2 linked regions of the Stegostoma tigrinum genome follow. The protein of the gene in region 2 binds, or shares a complex with, the protein of the main gene of each other region. Links are inferred from orthologs where the notes say so. Each region holds a gene or a part of one and is shown on either strand. Other genes may lie near its edges.

Region 1 (10,853 bases), on a different chromosome or scaffold from region 2:
GTTCATCCAGCTTCACACTTTATTATCTTAGTTCACCAGTTGATCTTTTAAAAAATGAAAATCAACTGGTTTTATGGTCTTAATTCCAGATTTTCTTGGATTCAAATTCCACCATTTGCTATGAATGTATTTGAACTCAGGTCCTCAAAGCATTACCTGATTTGATTTTGATTTATTATTGTCACATGTACTGAGATACAGTGAAAAGTATTGTTTTGAGTGCTATCCAGGCTTATCATACCTTACATAAGTACATCAGGGTAATAGAACAGAATGCAGAATATAGTGTTACAGCTACAGAGAAGGTGCAGAGAAAGATCAACTTTTAAAGTACGAGAGGTCCATTCAAAAGTCGGATGATAGTGGAGAAGAAACTATTCTTGAATCTGTTAATGTGTGTTTTCAAACTTTTGTATCCTCAGCCTGATAGAAGACGGTAGAAGAGAATATAACCAATGTGGGATGGGTCATGGCTGCTTTCCTGAGGCAGCAAGAAGTGTAGATGTGGTCAATGGATAGAAGGTTGGTTTCTGTGATGGACTGGGCCATGTTCATAACTCTCTGTAATTTCTTGTAGTCTTGGCAGAGCAGTTGTTAAAACTAGCTGTGATGCATCCCAATAGGATGCTTTCCATGATGCAACTATAAAAATTGGTAAGAGTCAATGTGGACATGCTGAATTTCCTTCGCCTCCTGAGTAGAGGTGTTGGTATGCTTGCGTGATTGTAACGTTGTTACAGAATAGATTGTTGGTGATATTTACTATCAGGAACTCAAAAGTCTAGACCAGTTCCAACTCAGCACCATTGATACAGACAGGGGCATGTCCTCTACTCTGTTCCCTGAAGTCAGTGACAAGTTCCTTCATTTTGCTGACATCGAGGGAGAGAATGTTGTCTTTGCTTCATACCACTAAGCTTTCTATCTCTTTCCTGTACTCTGACCCACCATTGTTTAAGAAATGACACACTATTTTGTGTCATCAGCAAATTTATAAATGGAGTTTGAGTGGAATTTAGATACACAGTCATGAGTTTGTAAGGAATATAGTAAGAGGCTGAGTATCCTGATGTTCCAGGCACATGTGTAGGGTCAGGGAGATGGTGTCTGCTATGGACCTAATGCAACAGTAGGTGAACTGTAGTGGATAAAGGCAGTCGGGGAGGCTGGAATTGATGTGTTCCATGACTAACCTCTCAAAGTATTTCATAATGATCGATGTCAGAGCCACCAGGCTGTAGCCATTAAGGCATTAAGGTCCCAGAAATTGAAGTTCCTGCTGAACAAAACCTCGGCATCCGTGACCTTTGAAAATAATCCAATGACGTTGGAGAGATTGGAGCAGTACCCCCCCAATTGAAATAATAGTTATCCAGGAAATGTTAGAGAATTAAAAATAAATTCTAACTCCTGGGTAACAATTAAACTGACCCCAAATTCACTACTCATCACGCCAGGCAGCATCTGAAGGACATGAGGAGTCAATGTTTCGGGTATAACCCTTCTCCAGGACTGGATGTGGGGTGGGGGTAGCAGATTGGGTTGTGATAGGTGGGCACTGGTGGTAGGTATGAACCTGGTTGGTCAGTGGGAAGGGAGGATCAGTAGGTGGAATGGAAGGGAGGAGGTGCGGCTGGAAAGGAAACCGGGGAGATGGGTGGCATTGAGTTCTCTGGTTTCAAATAACTCAGTGAGTGAACTATCCTAAGCTGGAATTTCAGGAACACAGCTGAGAACTGCCATTACCATGACACCTTCACTGTCCAGTAGCCTTTAATTACCCTGGCACACTGCTCTGAGGAAAGGTCACTGGACCCAAAATATTAACTCTGCTTTCTCCCCACAACTGCTGCCAGAACTGCTGAGTTTCTCCAGCGATTTCTGTTTTTGACCTGAGTGCAATTATCCGTTAACCTGATATTCCATGGTCTCCTTATTTCTGCCATTCGCCTGATCTCCCAAATCCTCACTGATGCAGGATGTGGTATTGCTGTTCTCCTGCTCAGCATCCTGCGCTAACCTGGAGTTTCAGTATTTTCCTACTGTTTACACTGATCTGGGCACACATTTAAAATTTTATGGTCAATATAATCCAGACTGTTCAAACCATGTTGGTTTTTGCTCCCAGTGTGAGGTGGAATTCTCTCTTTAATCTAACACTGACCTTGTTTTAGTTCAGCCCTGGCGCTATATGCAGAGTGAGTGAGAGCCAGAGTGGCATGGAGGCACTTGGCCAGCCTCTCTCTCTTGTTATAGCGCAGTTTCCTCTTCAGTCACAGTCTGCCTCATCCTCAGGCTCCAATCTCGCTAGATTCAGAGCAGGAAATGATAAGGTATCTTCCTCACGAGCTGCTGGCAACACTATCACCCTCAACACAGAACACCAACAGCCCAGCAGGCACAACCATCACACACAGCAGGCTAGACTGTTACCCCCAGCAGGCAGCACTGTTACCCCCAGCAGGCAGCACTGTTACCCCAGCAGGCTGGACCATCATCTCCAACAGGCAGGACTGTTACCCCTCCAGCAGGCAGGAATATCACCCCCAGCAGGCAGGACCATTATCCCCAGCAGGCAGGACCATCACCTCCAGCAGGCAGGACTGTTACCCCTCCAGCAGGCAGGAATATCACCCCCATCAGGCAGGACTGTTACTCCCAGCAGGCAGGACCATTACCCCCAGCAGGCAGGACTGTTACCTCCAGCAGGCAGGACCATCACCTCCAGCAGGCAGGACTGTAACCGCCAGCAGGCAGGACTGTAACCAGGAGAGAGAACCTGCACAGCAGCACTGTTAGGCCTGACAGGAGCTCAGTTGCGAGCATCAGCCACCCCCTGCCCCTGTCTCCTGGGGTTTGCTGTTTCTATGTGACAGTAAACTGGAGCAATTTGTTGGATCCAGGCACCAGGTGATTTCAGACCTTCCGGTTGCTTCCCCATTCGGGCCGGAAGCAAGTTTCCATCGCATCTCTGTTGCTGGGAGAAGGCAGTGAGCAGCCTGAGGTAGTGCATGGTATTTGGGACTTCCAGCTGTAGGGACGTGCTGGGGTTTCATTTATTGTTTGTTTCTGTAGGTTTGCGGGTGCTGTGGCTCTCCTGCTGGGATGGTGGGATAGTCAGACACACACACAGGGGCTCCTACTGGGATGGTGGGATAGTCAGTCACACACACACACACACACACATGGGCTCCTGCTGGGATGGTGGGATAATCAGTCACACACACACATGCACTGGGGCAATGGGATGGTGGGATAGTGACACACACACTGGGGCTGCTCCCAGCCCAGTGCCCCTTTCCCGGGCTTTGTCGCTCCCCAACCTCCTGCTTCCCGGGCTCTCCCTCCACCCCCAAATCCCGGGCTCTGCCCCCACCCCCCCACCCCGCGCCCTGGGCTGTGTTCCCCCCGCACATCCAGTTAATCTCAGCCTGCTCACTGCCTGCTCCTTGGCTCTCGGTTGCAGCGTGGTCCTGGGCACCGTTCCCCCACCCCCCCCGCCAACACACACCCCGGGGGTCGGGGCTGGTGTGACTGTGAAGCTGGTCCCCGGCTGCTGTCAGTGCTCGGTACCGTCCCAAAGCCTGTTCCCTCCCGGTTAGCCACAGAGCAGGACACTGGAGGGTTATCCCTGGGCACTGTCTGACCGCCTGGGAATGACTGTGATCCCAAGAAACTTCAGAGCAGGTCCCTCTCACCACAGTGCCCGCAATCAGAGGGAAACCTCACCGGCTGGGGAGAGGGAGAGAGAGTGGGAGGGAGAGGGGGAGAGAGGGTAACAGGAGAGAGGGAGAGAGAGAGGGAGGGAGGGGGGGAGAGGGTAACAGGAGAGAGGGAGGGAGAGGGGGAGAGGGTAACAGGAGAGAGGGAGAGAGAGAGGGTAAGGGAGAGGGGGAGAGAGGGTAATAGGAGAGAGGGAGAGAGAGAGGGTAAGGGAGGGGGGAGAGAGGGTAATAGGAGAGAGGGAGAGAGAGATGGTAAGGGAGAGGGGGGAGAGAGGGTAACAGGAGAGAGGGAGAGAGAGAGGGAGGGAGAGGGGGAGAGGGTAACAGGAGAGAGGGAGAGAGAGAGGGAGGGGGGAGAGAGGGTAACAGGAGAGAGGGAGAGAGAGAGGGTAAGGGAGGGGGGAGAGAGGTTAACAAGAGAGAGGGAGAGAGAGATGGTAAGGGAGAGGGGGGAGAGAGGGTAACAGGAGAGAGGGAGAGAGGGTAGGGGAGAGGGGGGAGAGAGGGATGGGAGGAGAGAGGAGAGGGGGAGAAGGTGAGGGGGATTTGCGGGAAGAAGGGAGAGACAAGGAGGAGGGAGAGAGGGAGGGAGAGAGAGAGGGAAATGAGAGACGGGGCGGTAGGGGGGCGTGGAAAAAGAAGAGAGAGGGATGGAGAGAGAGAGGGGTGAGTGAGAGACGGGGTGGTGGGGGGGAGAGAGAGGGACGGGAGGGAGTGGGGTGGGAGGGAGAGGGGAGTGAGGGAGAGAGAGAGAGAGGGAAGTGGGGGGGGAGAGAGAGAGGAATGAGACACGGGGCGGTGGGGGTAGAGAGAGGGGAGGAAGGGAGAGGGGTGGGAGGGAGAGAGAGAGGGGAGTGAGAGACGGGGCGGTGGGGGGGAGAGAGAGGAGAGGGAGGGAGAGGGGAGGGAGAGTGAGGGGGTGAGAGAGAGAGAGAGGAGTGAGAGACGGGGCAGTGGGGGGGAGAGAGAGGGGAGTGAGACACGGGGCGGTGGGTGAGAGAGAGAGGGGAGTGAGACGGGGCAGTGGGGGGTGGAGAGAGGGGAGTGGGAGAGGGGGAGGGAGAGGGAAGTGATGGCGAGAGGAGAGTGGGGGGGGAGAGAGAGAGGAGTGAGAGAGGGCGCGGTGAGGTGGGAGAGAGGGGAGGGAGGGAGAGGGGTGGGAGAGAGAGGGGAGTGAGAGAGGGCGCGGTGGGTGGGAGAGAGATGGGAGTGAGAGAGCGCGGTGGGGTGGGAGAGAGAGGGGAGTGAGAGACCGGGCGCGGTGGGGTGGGAGAGAGAGGGAAGTGAGAGATGGGGCGGTGGGGTGGGAGAGAGGGGAGGGAGGGAGAGAGAGAGAGGGAAGTGAGAGAGGGCGGTGGGGTGGGAGAGAGAGGGGAATGAGAGAGGGAGCGGTGGGGTGAGAGAGAGAGGGGAGTGAGAAGGGGCGACGGGGTGGGAGAGAGAGGGGAGTGAGGGGGGGGGCGGTGGGGTGGGAGAGAGAGGGGAGGGAGAGATGGGGCGGTGGGGTGGGAGAGAGGGGAGGGAGGGAGAGAGAGAGAGGGAAGTGAGAGAGGGCGGTGGGGTGGGAGAGAGAGGGGAATGAGAGAGGGAGCGGTGGGGTGAGAGAGAGAGGGGAGTGCGAGACGGGGCGGTGGGGCGGGAGAGAGAGGGGAGTGAGAGAGGGGGCGGTGCGTGGGAGAGAGATGGGAGTGAGAGGGGACGGTGGGGTGGCAGAGAGAGGGGAGTGAGAGAGGGGGCGGTGGGGTGGGAGAGAGAGGGGAGTGAGAGAGGGGACGGTGAGTGGGAGAGAGAGGGGAGTGAGAGAGGCGGCTGTGTGGGGGAGAGAGAGGGGACTGAGGGGGGGCGGTGGGGCGGGAGAGAGAGGGGAGTGAGAGAGGGGGTGGTGGGTGGGAGAGAGAGGGGAGTGAGAGAGGGCGCGGTGTGGGGGAGAGAGGGGAGTGAGAGAGGGTGTGTTGGGGTGGGAGAGAGAGGGGACTGAGAGAGGGGAGGGAGGGAGAGAGAGAGAGGGGAGTGAGAGAGGGGAGGGAGGGAGAGAGAGAGGGGAGGAGAGAGGGGGCCGTGGGATGGTGATGCGGTGGGGGGAGCTGGCTGGCCTGGTTGCAGATGGAATAGCGAGGAGACTATCTCCTAAGGGAACAGCAGGCAGTAATGGATGTGGAGTGGGGGGATGAATTTGCTGAGTAGGGAGATGTGTGTGTGCGGATTGGCGCAGGGAGGGAGGGATGGAGCGGGGGGGTGGGGGAGCTATTTTTAGAGAGAGTGCAGAGCTGGAATGTGTTAGTGCTGCTGAGGAAGGGGACGTGCTGGAGCCCGAGCTGGAGCTGTTCGTTCAGCACCTTCTCACACACACTCTCTTTCTCAGTCTCTGTCAGCCTGGTAACCAGCAGGAGCCGGTAAGCAATTCCAACCTCCTCTGTATCGCTAGCTCAGCTACAGGAGCATTTGCTGCCGAGGAAAGGGCCAGGAGCATGGTGTTGCCAGTTTGATGTGTTAGTGAGGGGGGGAGATTCGGACTACAGTGCGGCTGGAATCTCCGTTTCCTGGGCATTCGGTTCAGGAGCCTGGCTCAGAGTTCCCGCAACATGCACCGTGACTGTGTGTCGGAATTCAGGGGGCACCTTCCTGAAGGTGATCCCCGCCAACCCGGGGGCACAGATTGCGATAAGGAAATGGGTTTATTGTGAACAGCTGAGAGAGGCGGTTTGCCATTTGACAGAATCCGGAACCAGAGAGGGAACGGAGAGAGAGACAGAGACAGAGAGCCAGGCTCTCTCTCTGTAGGCAGTAAAACGGGATAGGCTGTGGGAACTAGCAAAACGCGATGCGGGTTTAGTGGCCGCGGTGTTTAATGCGACCCACGGCGACCTTGAGTTTATTGAAAGTCAGCAGTGTTCTCTCACAGTGCTGCCCGTGTTACAACAGGCAAGTGATCAGCGCGCACACACACGCACAGTGCACAGGATACACACTGTCCTGTACACACACTGCCCTGTATATACACACACAACACGGTTCTGTACACGCACAGCACAGGCTTGTACACTCACAGCATGGTCCTGTACACACATGGCACTGCCCTGTACACACATAGCGCTGGCCTGTATATGCACACACAGCAATATCTTGTACACACACAGAGCACTATCCTGTACACACAGCACTGCCCTGCACACGCACACAGCACTGTCCTGCACACGCACACAGCACTGTCCTGCACACGCACACAGCACTGCCCTGCATACGCACACAACACTGTCCTGCACACACTGGGCATTGTCCTGTATGCATACAGCACTGTCCTGTACACACACAGAGCACTGTCCTGTACACACACAGAGCACTGTCCTGTACACACATCCAGTACTGTCCTGTACACACACAGCACTGTCCTGTACACACATCCAGCACTGGCCTGTACACACACCCAGCACTGTCCTGTACACACACCCAGTACTGTCCTCTACACACACCCAGCACTGTCCTGTACACACACCCAGTACTGTCCTGTACACACACCCAGTACTGTCCTGTACATACACACAGCACTGTCCTGTACACACACAGCACTGTCCTGTACATACACACAGCGCTGTCCTGTACACACACCCAGTACTGTCCTCTACACACACCCAGCACTGTCCTGTACACACACCCAGTACTGTCCTGTACACACACACAGCACAGTCCTGTACACACAGGGCATTGTCCTGTACACACACACTACTGTCCTGTACACTAGCCACAAGGAAAGCTATTTCCACATTGACCCAGAATCTTGAACCTGAAAGTACCCTATACAGAATCATTTCCTTCCAGTCAGCAAATAATTTCACCCAGCAATTTTCTTTCGAGATAGTTTCGGAGTTTCCACCGGCAAACCAGTGGCACGGAGCCCTTTCAATTAATCAGTCCCCGCGGATGAGAAATTAGCAAACGCGATAGCAATTTGGCACAACAGAGTGGAAAGTAATTGCTGTCCGGGGGAGGAACTGCAGTTATATGAGACCGTGCAGGATTGACCCTGAACGGCCAGAAGCCCGGAGGTAAGCCCGGAAAGTATGGACAGAAAGGGAAAGTATGAACTTCCGATAATTCCTAACTATATGTCAGCAACAGTAACACCGCAGGCAGCTTCTCATCTACTACTCTCCCATTCAATAAAAAATCTTCCGAAAGTGACAGTACATATGCACGAAATCGCGGAGACGGAGTAGAAAACAGGTATCGCAGCCATCAGTTATTCCTCAGCATTCAGAGCTCAGATTAGTCTCCGGATTACTCACATCACAAAGCAGGCAGGATCATTCCCCAACCAATGCTACTGAGATTGGGGGAAAAAAACTCTCCGATTGTCACACTGGAGGGAGACAGTCAGAAAACAGGAATCTTCCCCCATTCTCACTATGTCACAAGTTACAGACACCAGGTTATAGTCCAACAGGTTTACTTGAAATCGCAAGCTTTCGGAGGGCAGCCCCTTCGTCAGGTGAACCCTGAAAGTATGTGTTTTCAAATAAACCTGTCAGACTATAACCTGGTGTCTGTGACTTCTGGTCTTGTCCGCCTCAGTCCAACACCGGCACTTTCACATCAATCTCACAACGGAGAGAGACAGTCTCATTTTCCAAAAGCTAGTGTAATTAAAAAGAACTCCAAGTCCTCACTTTTATATGAGAGCGCCTTTTCAGTTAACCACGTTCCCACAAAGCCCGCAGCCCAGTGATTACTAGCTCCCTACATTTATACAATCAATTAATTAGCTCTTCATTTGTATATGCATTACTTCTCATTTTATTAGGTCTCAGGCAATCCTAGATTATAACAGTACCTAAAGCTACTGGAGAAATTCAGCAGGTCAGACAGCATCAATGGAGAGAAAGCAGAGTTGTTTTGGTCCCTTCCTCATTGAGTCCCTTCCTCACTGAACTTGTAACGTTAACTGCATTTATTAGTATATGCTGTCAAACCTGCTGAGTTTCTCCAATAATTTATGTTTTTGTTTCAGATCTTCAGCATCTGCAGTTCTTTGATTTATTTTAGACGATAACAGATATACTTTTTCTTCTTAGATAATTCAATCTATAAGAATAGGAAAAAAAACACCAAAATGATGACAGATTATATTCAGAGATAGCAAGAACTGCAGATGCTGGAGAATCTGAGATAACAAGGTGTAGAGCTGGATGAACACAGCAGGCCAAGCAGCATCAATGGAGCAGGAAAGCTGATGTTCTTGGATCTGGATCTTTCTTCAGAAAAGGTTATATTCCCATTTTTTTTCTTTGCATATTAAAATTCCAAGTGACCTTTTCTGGTATGCCCAACAGTTTCTCTGAAATTGTTGCTTTCTTAGTAAAATAACCAGATCACTGACTGTTGTTTTTCACCTATTTCAATTTGGACATTTCTCCATTCTTCACCATTTGCTATACTGATCCTCAGCCTTTTTCTCAATGTTGAGTTTACATTATTCCGCAGTGATTTATTATCGATACAGCGCTCATTGGGTATTGTTGCTGAATCCCTATTTGATTTTCTTTCAATATTTTTGATAAGGAAAATACAATTTCTACCACCTCACCAAGAGTTAAAGCCTGTACCATTAATGTACTTTTTACTCTTTTCCAATCTTTTTAGCTTCCCAAGCTAAAGTGTAACATTTACCTCCCTTTCCTACAAGAAAGATTTTGAACCTTTCTGCATGTGGAAACCAATCACAGAGATTTGCTTAAGGAACATCACTAAAAGCAAGTTTTGTGCTCCTGGCATCTCCCATTAATAGAATGTTTAAAACACTATGTTCCATTTTTAATTTTTTCAATGGATTGTTGCCTAAATGATATCTTCTGCCTTGGGAGTTCTCATAGTTTTACTCAACTCTAATACTTTAAAATTAGCATCTTGCCTTATTTAAGTGCCAGCTAATATATCTGTCCAATGACCCTTCACAATTCCTCCACTTCGGCTTTGGAAGCTACTGTATCTTTTCGTGAAACCCTATTTTGACAAATAGCAATGGCTAAACATTTTCCAAATAAGATTGCTGTTGAAAAATGACATTGATCTATGTTGCTGCATTTCCATTCCAGTATCTGACTTCTAATTTTGAATTCTGCTTTAATTCCATTCATGACAATGTTTTTGAATTCACTGCTCTTACTCCATAAAACATCATGTAAATGCAGCATAAAAATGCTTGAAAGCTGTCCTTTATAATGCCAGTAAAACATGGCAGGGCCTTCTTTTAACTGAAGATAACCCAATTTTAATAAAACATACCTTTCTGAGAAGCAACAAACTCTAGAAGCATCATTCATGTGCACTTTGATTTAACTTACAAAGTGCCTCATTGCAAATGTGCCTTTTTAAGAGATAAAGAAACACTTCCCTCTTAAGTTGTTGTCCCTGTAGCTTTAATAGATTGATCACTCTCCCAAGCATTCATAACTACTAAGCCAAAAATTTATTTTTTATCCTATCAGTGAATCTACCCTAGTATCCTGATCCTTCATTTTTCTTCAAAACCTTGTGTCACCAGCCTTGCTTCAGCCTCATAAGTTCCATTAAAGGACATCTTTTCAATTCATACCCACTATTCTGTTGGAGCTCGTTGTGTCCCTGCTGGCACCTCTATGCATACATGTACATTCAAATACTCCGAAAAAGTAAAATCAATTGCAGTCTCTTCCCAAGATAGGAGCTGAACATTTATTATTGATGTAACTTTAGGGTTCTTGCTAAAACTATCTGCTGTGAAAAATATCTTCCAACCATCTGCAATGAATTCCTAGCATGAGCAGCCCACACTAGTGGAGGTGATAATTTAAGGTTTTGCTGATCTAACAAAATCTTATGAACTATTTTGTCTATTACTGCATGGTTCCTTTCATGTAACCCATTGCTAAAATCTGATGCCATATTCATAACCGTTACATTTATATTAACCCATATATCTCCAAATTCATCATTCGCAGACTCTGTCTCCCCACCATTATCATTGAGAAATTTTGCCAGTTATGCAAGTCCAGTACCCGTCCGCTTTTCCATTCACTTATCCATAGTTATTTTCTTGACATTAATGTGAATTGAAAATTTTTTTTTCTTTATCCCATTTCCCCTTCTTTAAAT
Region 2 (10,720 bases):
CTGAACACCCAGATCTCTCTGTTCATCAATTTTCCCTAGGACTTTTCCATTTACTGTATAGTTCGCCCTTGAATTAGATCTTCCAAAATGCATCACCTCGCATTTGCCCGGATTGAACTCCATCTGCCATTTATCTGCCCAACTCTCCAGTCTATCTATATTCTGCTGTAATCTCTGACAGTCCCCTTCACTATCTGCTACTCCACCAATCTTAGTGCCATCTGCAAACTTGCTGATCAGACCACCTACACCTTCCTCCAAATCATTTATGTATATCACAAACAACAGTGGTCCCAGCACAGATCCCTGTGGAACACCACTAGTCACAGGTCCCCAATTTGAGAAACTCCCTTCTACTACTGCTCCCTGTCTCCTGTTGCCCAGCCAGTTTTTTTATCCATCTAACTAGCACACCCTGGACCCCATGTGACTGCACTTTTCCCATCAGCCTGCCATGGGGAACCTTATCAAACACCTTACTGAAGTCCATGTATATGACTTCTATAGCCTTTCCCTCATCAATCAACTTTGTCATGTCCTCAAAGAATTCTATTAAGTTGGTAAGACATGACCTTCCCTGCACAAAACCGTGTTGCCTATCACTGATAAGCCCATTTTCTTCCAAATGGGAATAGATCCTATCCCTCAATATCTTTTCCAGTAGCTTCCCAACCACTGGCGTCAGGCTCACTGGTCGATAATTACCTGGATTATCCTTGCTACCCTTCTTAGACAAGGGGACAACATTAGCAAGTCTCCAGTCCTCCAGGACATCACCCGTGTCTAAGGATGCTGCAAAGATATCTCCTAAGGCCCCGGCTATTTCCTCTCTCACTTCCCTCAGTACTCTGGGATAAATCGCATCTGGACCTGGGTATTTGTCCACCTTAATGTCTTTTAGGATACCCAACACTTCCTCTTTCCTTCTGTCAACTTGACCTAGAGTAAGGAAACATCTATCCCATCCTCAGCATCCGTCATATCCCTCTCCTTGGTGAATACCGAACAAAGTACTCGTTAAGAATGTCACCCATTTTCTCTGACTCAGCGCATAACTTTCCTTTTTTGTCCTTAAGTGGGCCAATCCTTTCTCTAGTTACCCTCTTGCTCTTTATATATGAATAAAAGGCTTTGGGATTTTCCTTAACCATGTTTGCCAGCAATCTCTCATGCCCTCTCTTAGCCTGCTTAATCTCTCGTTTCAGATTCACAATCCCTCGTTCAGATTCAGAACTCTCGTTCACCTCAACCCTCATTTACGTCAACCCTCATCCATCTCAATTGCTATCCACCTTTACCCCATCCAGCTCAACCCTCATTCACCTCAACCCTCATTCACCTCAACCCTCATTCATTTCAATCCCCATCCATCTTAATCCCCATCCATCTCAATCCCCATCCACCTCAACCCTCATTCACCTCAACCCTCATTCACCTCAACCCTCATTCACCTCAACCCTCATTCATCTCAATCCCCATCCATCTTAATCCCCATCCATCTCAATCCCCAACCACCTCAACCCTTGCCCAACTCAATCCCCATCCACCTTCACCCCATCCACCTCAACCCTCATTCACGTCAATCCCATCCAGCTCAACTCCCATCCACCTTCACCCCCATCCACCTCGACCCCCATCCATCTTCAACACCACCCACCAGAAACCACCATGCTTCATTCAGCGTTATTGCACCAAGGTGAAATGAACCATGAAAGGAACCGTTGGATACTCACTCAGGGTCCTCTTTGGTACAGTGGTAGTGCCCCTACTACTGAACTGGGAGGCCCAGGTCCAAGTCCCATCTACTGCAGAAGAATGTAATAACATCTCTGAACAGATTTTTTTGAAAATATTTAGGATCTTCACTGAATCTTTGTGGGACTTCAGTGCGTGGGATCAAACTGAAGGAGATGGAAATTACTACACAATGTGTTTGAGTGGAGCTCAGGCCCCTGGTGGGTTAGTTTCTGGGATGGAGTTGGCAGCAGTTAGAAACTGTGTGACTGAGAGAGGAAGTATGTGTTCTGATCTCTCTTCATAGTGCCCTGTTTCTCAGGAGGCTGTGCTGCATGTTTGACAGACCTACCCAGGTCACTCTATCAGAATATTTGCCAATATCAAACGATGAAAATTCCTTCTCGTGTAAGGGCAGTGACCTGGGGAGATTCTGACTCTCGGTCTCTGTCTCTCTCACTAGTTCAGTGGAATCTGATGTTCTCTGGTTGGAGTTTGGAGGCATTGGGAAAACTACTCTGTATTTCCTGCTGAAATTAACACCAACAGTAATGGGGGGGGGGGCAGTGCGGGTGGAGAAAGTAAGATGCTGTTGCTGATACAATTGTCTGCTCTTTCACTGGGTCCAGTCAACCTGTAGGAGCCAAAGTAGTGGGACTCCTGTTCCTGTACAGCTGTATTTCAGGGTGACAGACTCAGCGCTCCACATCTCACGGGAGATTAATACATGGTTATAAATCAGTGTATAAATATGGATATGGCATACAGGCACAGAGATCAGAAGATCAAATCAAGTCGAAAACTCCTTGTCCTTCACACCGTCTGTTCGGAATTCCACTCCCACTGTTCGGAATCCGGTCTAAATCCCTGGGAATTAACCGCAGCTCGGTCCCCAGTCCCCAGCCCATTCCAGGGGAGGATCGGCAAGGTGTACAAATACCCCCAGCAACTGAGCAAAACCGATTCTCCCCGGAGATGACCCACAGGCTTGGCCGAAATCCTTTGCCGCTGGTTTCCGGCCATTCCCCGACATCTTTGCCCTGGCTCCTTCTCCCAGGATTGAGCATTCTCCATGTTCCCGTCTTGTATATGTGTGCCAGTGTGTGTGTATGTGCCAGTGTGTGCCATTATCAGTGAGTGTGTGCCAGTGTGTGTGCCAGTGTCAGTGAGTGTGTGCCAGTGTCTCTGTGTGTGTGCCAGTGTCTATGTGTATGCCAATGTGTGTGCCAGTGTGTGTGCCAGTGTCTGTGTGTGTGCCAGTGTCTGTGTGTGCCAGTGTCTGTGCATACCTGTGTGTGTGCCAGTGTCTGTGTGTGTGCGTGCCAGTGTGTGTGCGTGTGTGTGTGTGTGTGTGTGTGTGATTGTGTGTGTGAGTATGTATGTGCTGGTGTGTGTGTCAGTATGTGGGCATATCTGTGTGTGTGAATCAGTGTGTAATTGTGTGTGTCACTGTGTATCTATATCTGTGTCAGTTTGAGAGATTGTGTGACTGTGTCAGTGTGTGGGAGGGAGATTGTGTCTCTATGTGTGTCAGTGTGTGGGAGATTGTATGTCCACTGTGTGTGTGTATATGAGATTGTGTGTCAATGTGTGTGAGATTGTGTACCAGTGTGATTGTGTGTGTGTGCGTATGAGAGAGAGAGATAGAGAGAGAGAGAAAGTGTGTGTGTACTGATTAAATTACAACTAGTAGGCAATCAATGTGCTGTTTCTGATAAACACCTTTTGTGAATTCATTGCCGATTTGGAATTGACCGAGATGAACACAGTAAGCGGACTGACTGAACCCAACGGAGATATGCTCCACCTACGGCGGACTCTCACTAAACCAGGGCAGACATTCAGCGAGTGTTGGACAGAAACAGAGGAAATCTCTTCCTCATCACACACACACAGCCCTAACACAGCAATAGCAGGAACAACACACCGAGCAAATGAAAGATGACATTTGTTTTCGCGTTCTCCCTGATGGAGAGTGGCAGAGACGAACACACACACACACACACACACACACACAAAGGTTTACAGTCAGTATCAATCCCACTCCTCTGGTCACAGTTTCTCCACCTCAACTTTCTGGGACACACATAGTCCCGCTCCTTCCCCTCTGTCACCCGCCTCACTGACTCGCAATGATTCGGGTGAAGGGGATATTCCTGATAGAGCTCAGGGAACACAATCCTGAGCTGACACGTTCCTCCCATTCCGAGAGGGAGCATTCATTAGACTATAGTCCCTTCCCAAATATAAACCAACCCCAGCAACAGGGTTCCTGCCAGTCACACTTTCAGCATGGACAGAGAGAGAGGGGGACAGCTTGGGAACACAACATCTCTTACCTGGAATGATGTCCTTTATTTTGTTTAAAATAAACAGAAAATCTATTTAGCTGAGGCTGCCTGAGGAATAGAGACACACAAATTACAAGGAATGCACTTTTTTTTCTCTCTCTCTCTCTCTCAGTTTCTCTCTTGTTTGCTCCTCACGGCCAGGCTTTGCAGAGATTTGGTTCCAAGTGCTGAGAGTGAAGGGTTTTATACTGCGGGAGACAGGGGGGTAACCGTCACTTTAGCAGAGAGACACTGCAGCTCTCAGGAAAGCCTCCAGTGAGAACCTACTGCATCACTGAGTCCTTGTGTATGATTGGACACAGAAAAGTGCTGCCTCGCATACCTAATCCAGCAGCAAGAAACAGGGACACAGCTCCATTTCGTCTTCTCTCACACACACACACACATTGGAGAGAGTTCCCGCAAGAGGCGCCCGCAGCACCCAGCTCAGTCTTCCAGGAGACAGGTGGGGAGCGAGGGTGGGGGTGTGGGGGTGTGGGGGTGGGATCTAGATAGCCCCCAACCCTCTGCCCTGACTGCTTCCCTTCACCCAGAGGGTCTCACTACTCTCAACAATACCACACCACCAGCGACACTAACAGAAGCAAGCAAAGGGGAGGAGAGATTTTCAGTCAGGGATTGTTGCTATGAGGGTATGGGGATGCTGTCCCCGAGTTTACCTGGAGTAGACCTGAAGCTAGATGTTTACTGTGGGTCTGAGCTCCTTCAGGTCCCCAGCCCAGAGCCAGCCAGGGGTCACGCAGTGGAAGTTTATTGGCTCGGGAGCACAGAGCTGGGGACTTGAGTTTGAGTTTGTAACTGCACAAAGCCATCCTGCACATCCATATCTAGGTGGGCATCATGTGACTAAGAACATTGCCCCACCTCACAGTACTGTGTTTCCAGCAGCTGCTTTTCAAGCATATTTGGTTTGGACCTCTCTGAACCAGCTTGAGAATCAAATCCCAGCTGCCATTTCAGTTCTGAGGGAGTCCTACCCTGTCACTGGGGCCAGAACACCAATCACCCTCCTCCAGTAACCAAAAAATCCTGGCACACTATTCAAGACAGAGTTGGGGAGAGTTACTTCATGGGGTCTTGCTACACACAGTTAGGACCAGACCCCAGGCTCATGATGGGATACAGCTAAATCCCTGGGTGAGGAGGCATGACCAGGCTCTCCCTCTTTATTCAACCACACCCTCTTCCCCCAAATAGTTCCACGGATTAATTAAAAAAAGATGCATTTCTGTATTGGAAAGATTGCACCTGCCTGGTGATGAGACACATGGTGTATGTTTTCAATTGTGACCAGTTTGTACCTTGTCCACATAACCCAGTGCCTGCAATTTATATCACAATTACATTGGATTTTGGGGTGATCACAACTAGATTACACTGTGCAGTTTTGCTCTCCATTTCTATGAATCTTGGAGGGTGAACAATGAAACTTGACTGGATGTGTTGAAGCTTGACACCATCCAGGACAAAGCAGTTGCTTGATTGGCACCACATCCACAAACATCCCACTCCCTCCACCACCGACGCTCAGTAGCAGCAGTGTGTACTGTCTACAAGATGCACTGCAGAAATTTACCAGAAATCCTTAGCACCTTCCAAATCCCTAACTACTTCCATCAGAAGGACAAGGGCAGCAGGTACATGGGAACACCACCCCCTGCAAATTCCCCCTCAAGCCCCTCACCATCCTGACTTGGAAATATCTCACCGTTCCTTCACTATTACTGGGTCAAAATCCTGGAATTCCCTCCCTAAGGGCATTGTGGGTCAACCCACAGCACATGGACAACATCGGTTCAAAAACACAGCTCACTACCACATTCTCAAGGGGCAACTAGGGATGGGCAATAAATGCTGGCCTGGCCATGAATGCCCACATCCCATGAGCGAATGAATAAATGTGGTATGAGGTGAATAGATAGAATTAAGGTAAAAGATCACCTGCTATCGTAACTGAGGATGCTTAAGGGGCCAAGTGACTAACTCCTGTTCACAATTCTTACACTTTACACATTTTATGAAGTGAATCTCCCACTGACTGTAGCTGAATGCTCAACAACTAAATTCTATTCCCGCAATCTTTGGAAAATTAAAATTGTGTTTATATGACTTTTGTTGTTATCTCTTAGTCTCTCTCTCTCTCTCTCTTCTCTGTGTCTTTCTGTCTGATTGTGTCTCTTCACTGATTCGTTTCTTTCTTCCTGTCTGTTTCTCTCTATCACTTTCTCTCCCTCTCTCTCTCTTTGTCTCTCTTCCTTTCCATCTCTGTCTCTCTGCCTCTCTCTCAGTCTCTTTGTCTCCCACCATCACTCTCTCTGTCTGTCTTTCTCTTTCTGCAATCTCTTTTTCTCTGACTCTCCTCTCACTCTCTATCCTCTCTGCCTCTCCTCTTTCTCCTCTCTCTCTGTCTCCATGTCTCTCTCTCTCTGTCCTCTATCTCTCCCCTTCTGGCTCTTCCTTTCTTCACTGTGTCCATCTCTTTCTTTCTCTCCCTCTCTCTCTCTCTCTCTCTCTCTGCATCACCCCATCCCTACTCTCTCTCTCCTGCCTCTCTCCTCATTACACATATGTTATGATGACTTCAGCCAAATATTCCTCCTGGGCACAGGACTGTTGCCAGCTTCTAACTCAGTTTTCAAAAAAGACTGTTCATCTATAAATAGTGCATTGGCTTATGTTATAAATGAGGGACCTGTGTGGGTTGGGGGCTGTGCAGTGTTTGTAAATTTACTCTGAATGAAGTATAACTGCAAACTGACTCCCCCGAGTTACACTGCAGAACAGGAGGCATTGCTGTGAATTCCACTCCTGGTGAGAAGGCTGCGTGCAGAGAATTTGCTGAAGCGATTACATAAGAATGTTAAAAGATTCACACGTGTACATCCTATCTCTCACACACATACAAATAAACACACTCACATACACTGTGTCAGCGATACAGAGACTCATCCACATGTTCACACTCTGACACACTGTGCACCTGCTGACAAATACGCACACCTACTAACACACACCGACTTGCATAGTGCATCTGTAGTCAGACACAATTCCAGATTGCACATACATCCAACAAATCTCTCACATGGCTGCCTGTGCATACAGTCTCTTCTTACACACACACACACACACACACACACACACATACTCTCTCTCTCTCACTCTCTCTCACAAACATACATTCATAGTCACACAAACTCTCTCACACACAGACAGACAAACTCTCACACACACTCTCACACTCTCTCTCACACACAGACACACACACACTCTCACATACAGGCCCAGTCTCTTTCTCACACACACACACACACACACACACACACACACACACACACACACACACACACACACACACACACACGCTTTGATCCTCCTGATGTGACAATTCCTCCAGGATCCCTGCTGATGTCAGGATGCTAACCTTGAGAGGTTGGAACTCTGAGATATGTCCTAAAGGGGATTCATATATTAACACGAAGGCGAGGAATTTTAAGTCACAGTTTCTGCCATTTTTGGCCACCACCTTCTATCAAATACAGGATGTCAGTTTAATTGCATTTGGTTGCTGTTGCCTGGTAACAGGAAGGATATATAGTTTTTGAAAATTTATTAGCCCAGTGTGCAATATGACAGAATAATAAATTAAATACGTGAACTACAAGATATCACCAGTTTTAATCTAATGTTAAATGTCAAATGAAATTCCAAACACAGACCTTCACATCTCCAATCAAGTTTTATTTAGTTATATTATACAGAATTACTTTCAACAACAGCATAGTGTGGTGTGTTCAATGTGTGTGCATAATTATGCTCCATTAATACTGTAACTTGTGAGAAAGCAGCTTTAATATCTCCCACTTTTGGAGATATTTTCTTAACCATCGCGCATGATTGGCCTCAACTTTACATTCTCAGATAAGTTTAACGTCTCCAATGCTGGATTATCCCATTACAATGTTACATTGTTGATCTGTTAACATTAACATCACCTGCTGATTTATTCTGATCTCTCCAGCTTTCAAGGTTATAAATTAAGTGGCACAGTTTTAAAGACAGTGCAAGAACAGAGGGACCTGGAGGTTCACAAACACAAATCTTTTAAAGTGACAGAGTAACGAATGAGATTGCTGAAGCGACAAATGAAATCTGTAAGCCTTTAGGCCTGGAAGTGTACAGCACAAATGGAAGGCATTTACAGAAAACCTTTATCCAGTACTGGCCTGACCTCATTTAAAGAATTGTGTTTAATCCTGGTCACCACACCTTAGCAACGATGCCAAGACATTGTTAGAGGTGTAGAGGAGATTTACTCGAATGGGACCAAGGATGAGGGACTTCAGTGAATGTGGAGAGACTGAGTAACTGGGGTTGTTCCACTGATAGGAAAGATAGTGAGAAGAAGATCCGAAGATGGTGTCAGTTTGTGTCATTTCTGACTTTTAGAGTTTGCTTTTTGTTTTCTGCGTTCAAAACGAGGAAGGATTTTGATAAAATAAATATGGAGAAAACCATTACCAGTGACCAGGGGGTCAGGAACGAGAGGAACAAAAACAGAAGTTGCTGGAAAATCTCAGCAGATCTGGCAGCATTTGTAGTGGGGAAACAGAGTTAATGTTTCAAATCCAGTTACTGTTCTTCAGAACCCTTCTTCACTGGACCTAGAACATTAACACAGCTTTCTCTCTCCACAGATGCTGCCAGACCTGCTGAGTTTTTACAGCAATTTCTGCTTTTGTTTCTGATTTCCAGCATCCACAGTTCTTTTGTTTTTTTTTGTTTAGCAACCAGCGAGATTCTGATGTAAGATTACGGGTAAAAGAACAAACGCGAGATGAGGAGAACTATTTTAACTGAGTGTGTTTATAAAATCATAGAAAATCTATGAGACAGAAGGAGGCCATTTACCCCATCATGTCCATGACAGTTACCAAAGGGTGATCTAGCCTTGTCCTACTATTCTGCACTAGGCCTGCAGTACTGTTGTGATCTGGGAAGTGCTGTCTGAGAGGGTGTTAGAGAAAGACTCAATAGTAACATTCAAAAGGAGAAAAATGCACAGATTTGGAAGCTAATACAGGGAGAAGTGAGATTAATTGGATAAGGAGATGGAACTGACGTGATGGGCTGAATGGCCTCCTTTGGTGCTGTGTCATTCTATAATTCTATGAGACAAATAAAATGAAAATTTTACCAAAACTAACACATTGTCCAGAGACAACGGCATAAATACTGATAAATTTTGCTGACTCTGTTAGAGTCTCACAACATTGAAATCCTATGGAAATGTTTTACAATAAAAGAAACAATTTTGCTTTACTACCATTGACAAGTATGTTATTGTTGTGTCAGAGTTCAGGTTGTGACAGAGTGTTGGTTCAGTTCAATCTATTATATTGAGATATTCTGCCAATTTCTTTGGGTGTTGCATCTTCAGGTCAGCATGATGGCAGGGCGGTGACTTATTGTCTCTTCAACATTTTTACAGGAGCCTCAATATATTTTGACAACAACCTTTATTTACAGTCATTGATCCACACTCACTCAAAGTGTCTCCTCCATGCAATCTCTCTCCAATTCTCACTCACTGAATCACACTGGGAGCGAGAGAAGGAGGACAAAAAAATGAAGGAGAAGGAGGAGGAGAAAAAGGAGCTGGAGAGGACACAGTGGGATTACCTCCGCACCAGTGACAATGCGACTGAGGTAATGCTTTGAGGGCAAGGCTCAAATCCTAGCACGGCAGATGGTGAAATGTGAATCAACTAAAAATATGGAATTAAAAGTCCAATGATGACGATAAAAACCTGTTGTAAAAACATGCTGAGTTTGCTAATGTACCTTAGGGAAGGAGTCTACTATCCTTACCCAGTAGGGACTACACTACAATACACTATGGACACTGAACTGCCCTCTGGAATGTCTGGCTAAGTCACTCGGTTGGATCAATTGTCAGAAAGAGAAAGCAGAATGAAACCAGAAGAGATAACAAGAACCTCAGATGTTGGAGTCAGGGTCAACACAGTGTGGAGCTGAAGGAGCACAGCAGGTCAGGCAGCATCAGAGGAGCAGGAAAGTCAATGTTTTGGGTCTGATGAAGGGTCCACACTCGAAACATCAGCTTTCCTGACCCTCGGATGCTGCCTGACCTGCTGTGTTCCTCAGCTCCACACTGTGTTGACTCTGATTCCAACATCTGCAGTTCTTGTTATCTCTGAAAGAGCTATAAACCCACTGCGAAGCCTCTTCCAAGGATTCCCACCCTGAATAAGTTATCCTCCTTCCTCTGGAAAGATCTCAGTGAATCTCTCTCCCACTGCAACCTTCTGATGATCTCTGCCCTGAAGCTCAGAGACTACAAACTGAGACAGCCACATTTGGGCAGCACGGTGGCTCAGTGGTTAGCACTGCTGCCTCACAGTGCCAGGGACCCAGGTTCAATTCCAGCCTTGGGCGGAGTGTGCACGTTCTCCCCATGTCTGCATGGGTTTTCTCCGGGTGCTCCTGTTTCCTCCCACTGTGCAGGCTAGGTGGATTGGCCATGATAAATTGCCCAGGGATGTTTAGGTTAGACGTGGGAACTGCAGGGGTGAGGGAAGGGGCCTGGGTGGGATGCTTTTTGGAGGGGCAGTGTG

What was found. The genes of interacting proteins can lie anywhere in the genome.
Region 1: the proteins of syt1a (region 2) and complexin-1 are in contact, whole or in part, in a crystal structure (PDB 5W5C), measured with the Rattus norvegicus proteins. The link is inferred for Stegostoma tigrinum from reciprocal best matches to the Homo sapiens genes SYT1 and CPLX1. Residues at the interface, in NP_001028852.2 of Rattus norvegicus: Glu271, Thr383, Gly384, Glu386, Thr406, Leu407, Gln408, Glu412, Met416; in NP_074055.1 of Rattus norvegicus: Val61, Met62, Gly65, Asp68, Lys69, Tyr70, Lys74.

Annotation. Positions count from the first base shown.
Region 1 is NC_081354.1:989,668-1,000,520, reverse strand, and holds the start of complexin-1, read left to right. Parts: upstream 1-5,995; 5' UTR 5,996-6,118; intron 6,119-10,853. UniProt on the Homo sapiens protein: Positively regulates a late step in exocytosis of various cytoplasmic vesicles, such as synaptic vesicles and other secretory vesicles.
Region 2 is NC_081371.1:61,646,475-61,657,194, forward strand, and holds the start of syt1a (synaptotagmin-1a), read right to left. Parts: upstream 4,306-10,720; 5' UTR 4,074-4,305; intron 1-4,073. UniProt on the Homo sapiens protein: Calcium sensor that participates in triggering neurotransmitter release at the synapse. May have a regulatory role in the membrane interactions during trafficking of synaptic vesicles at the active zone of the synapse.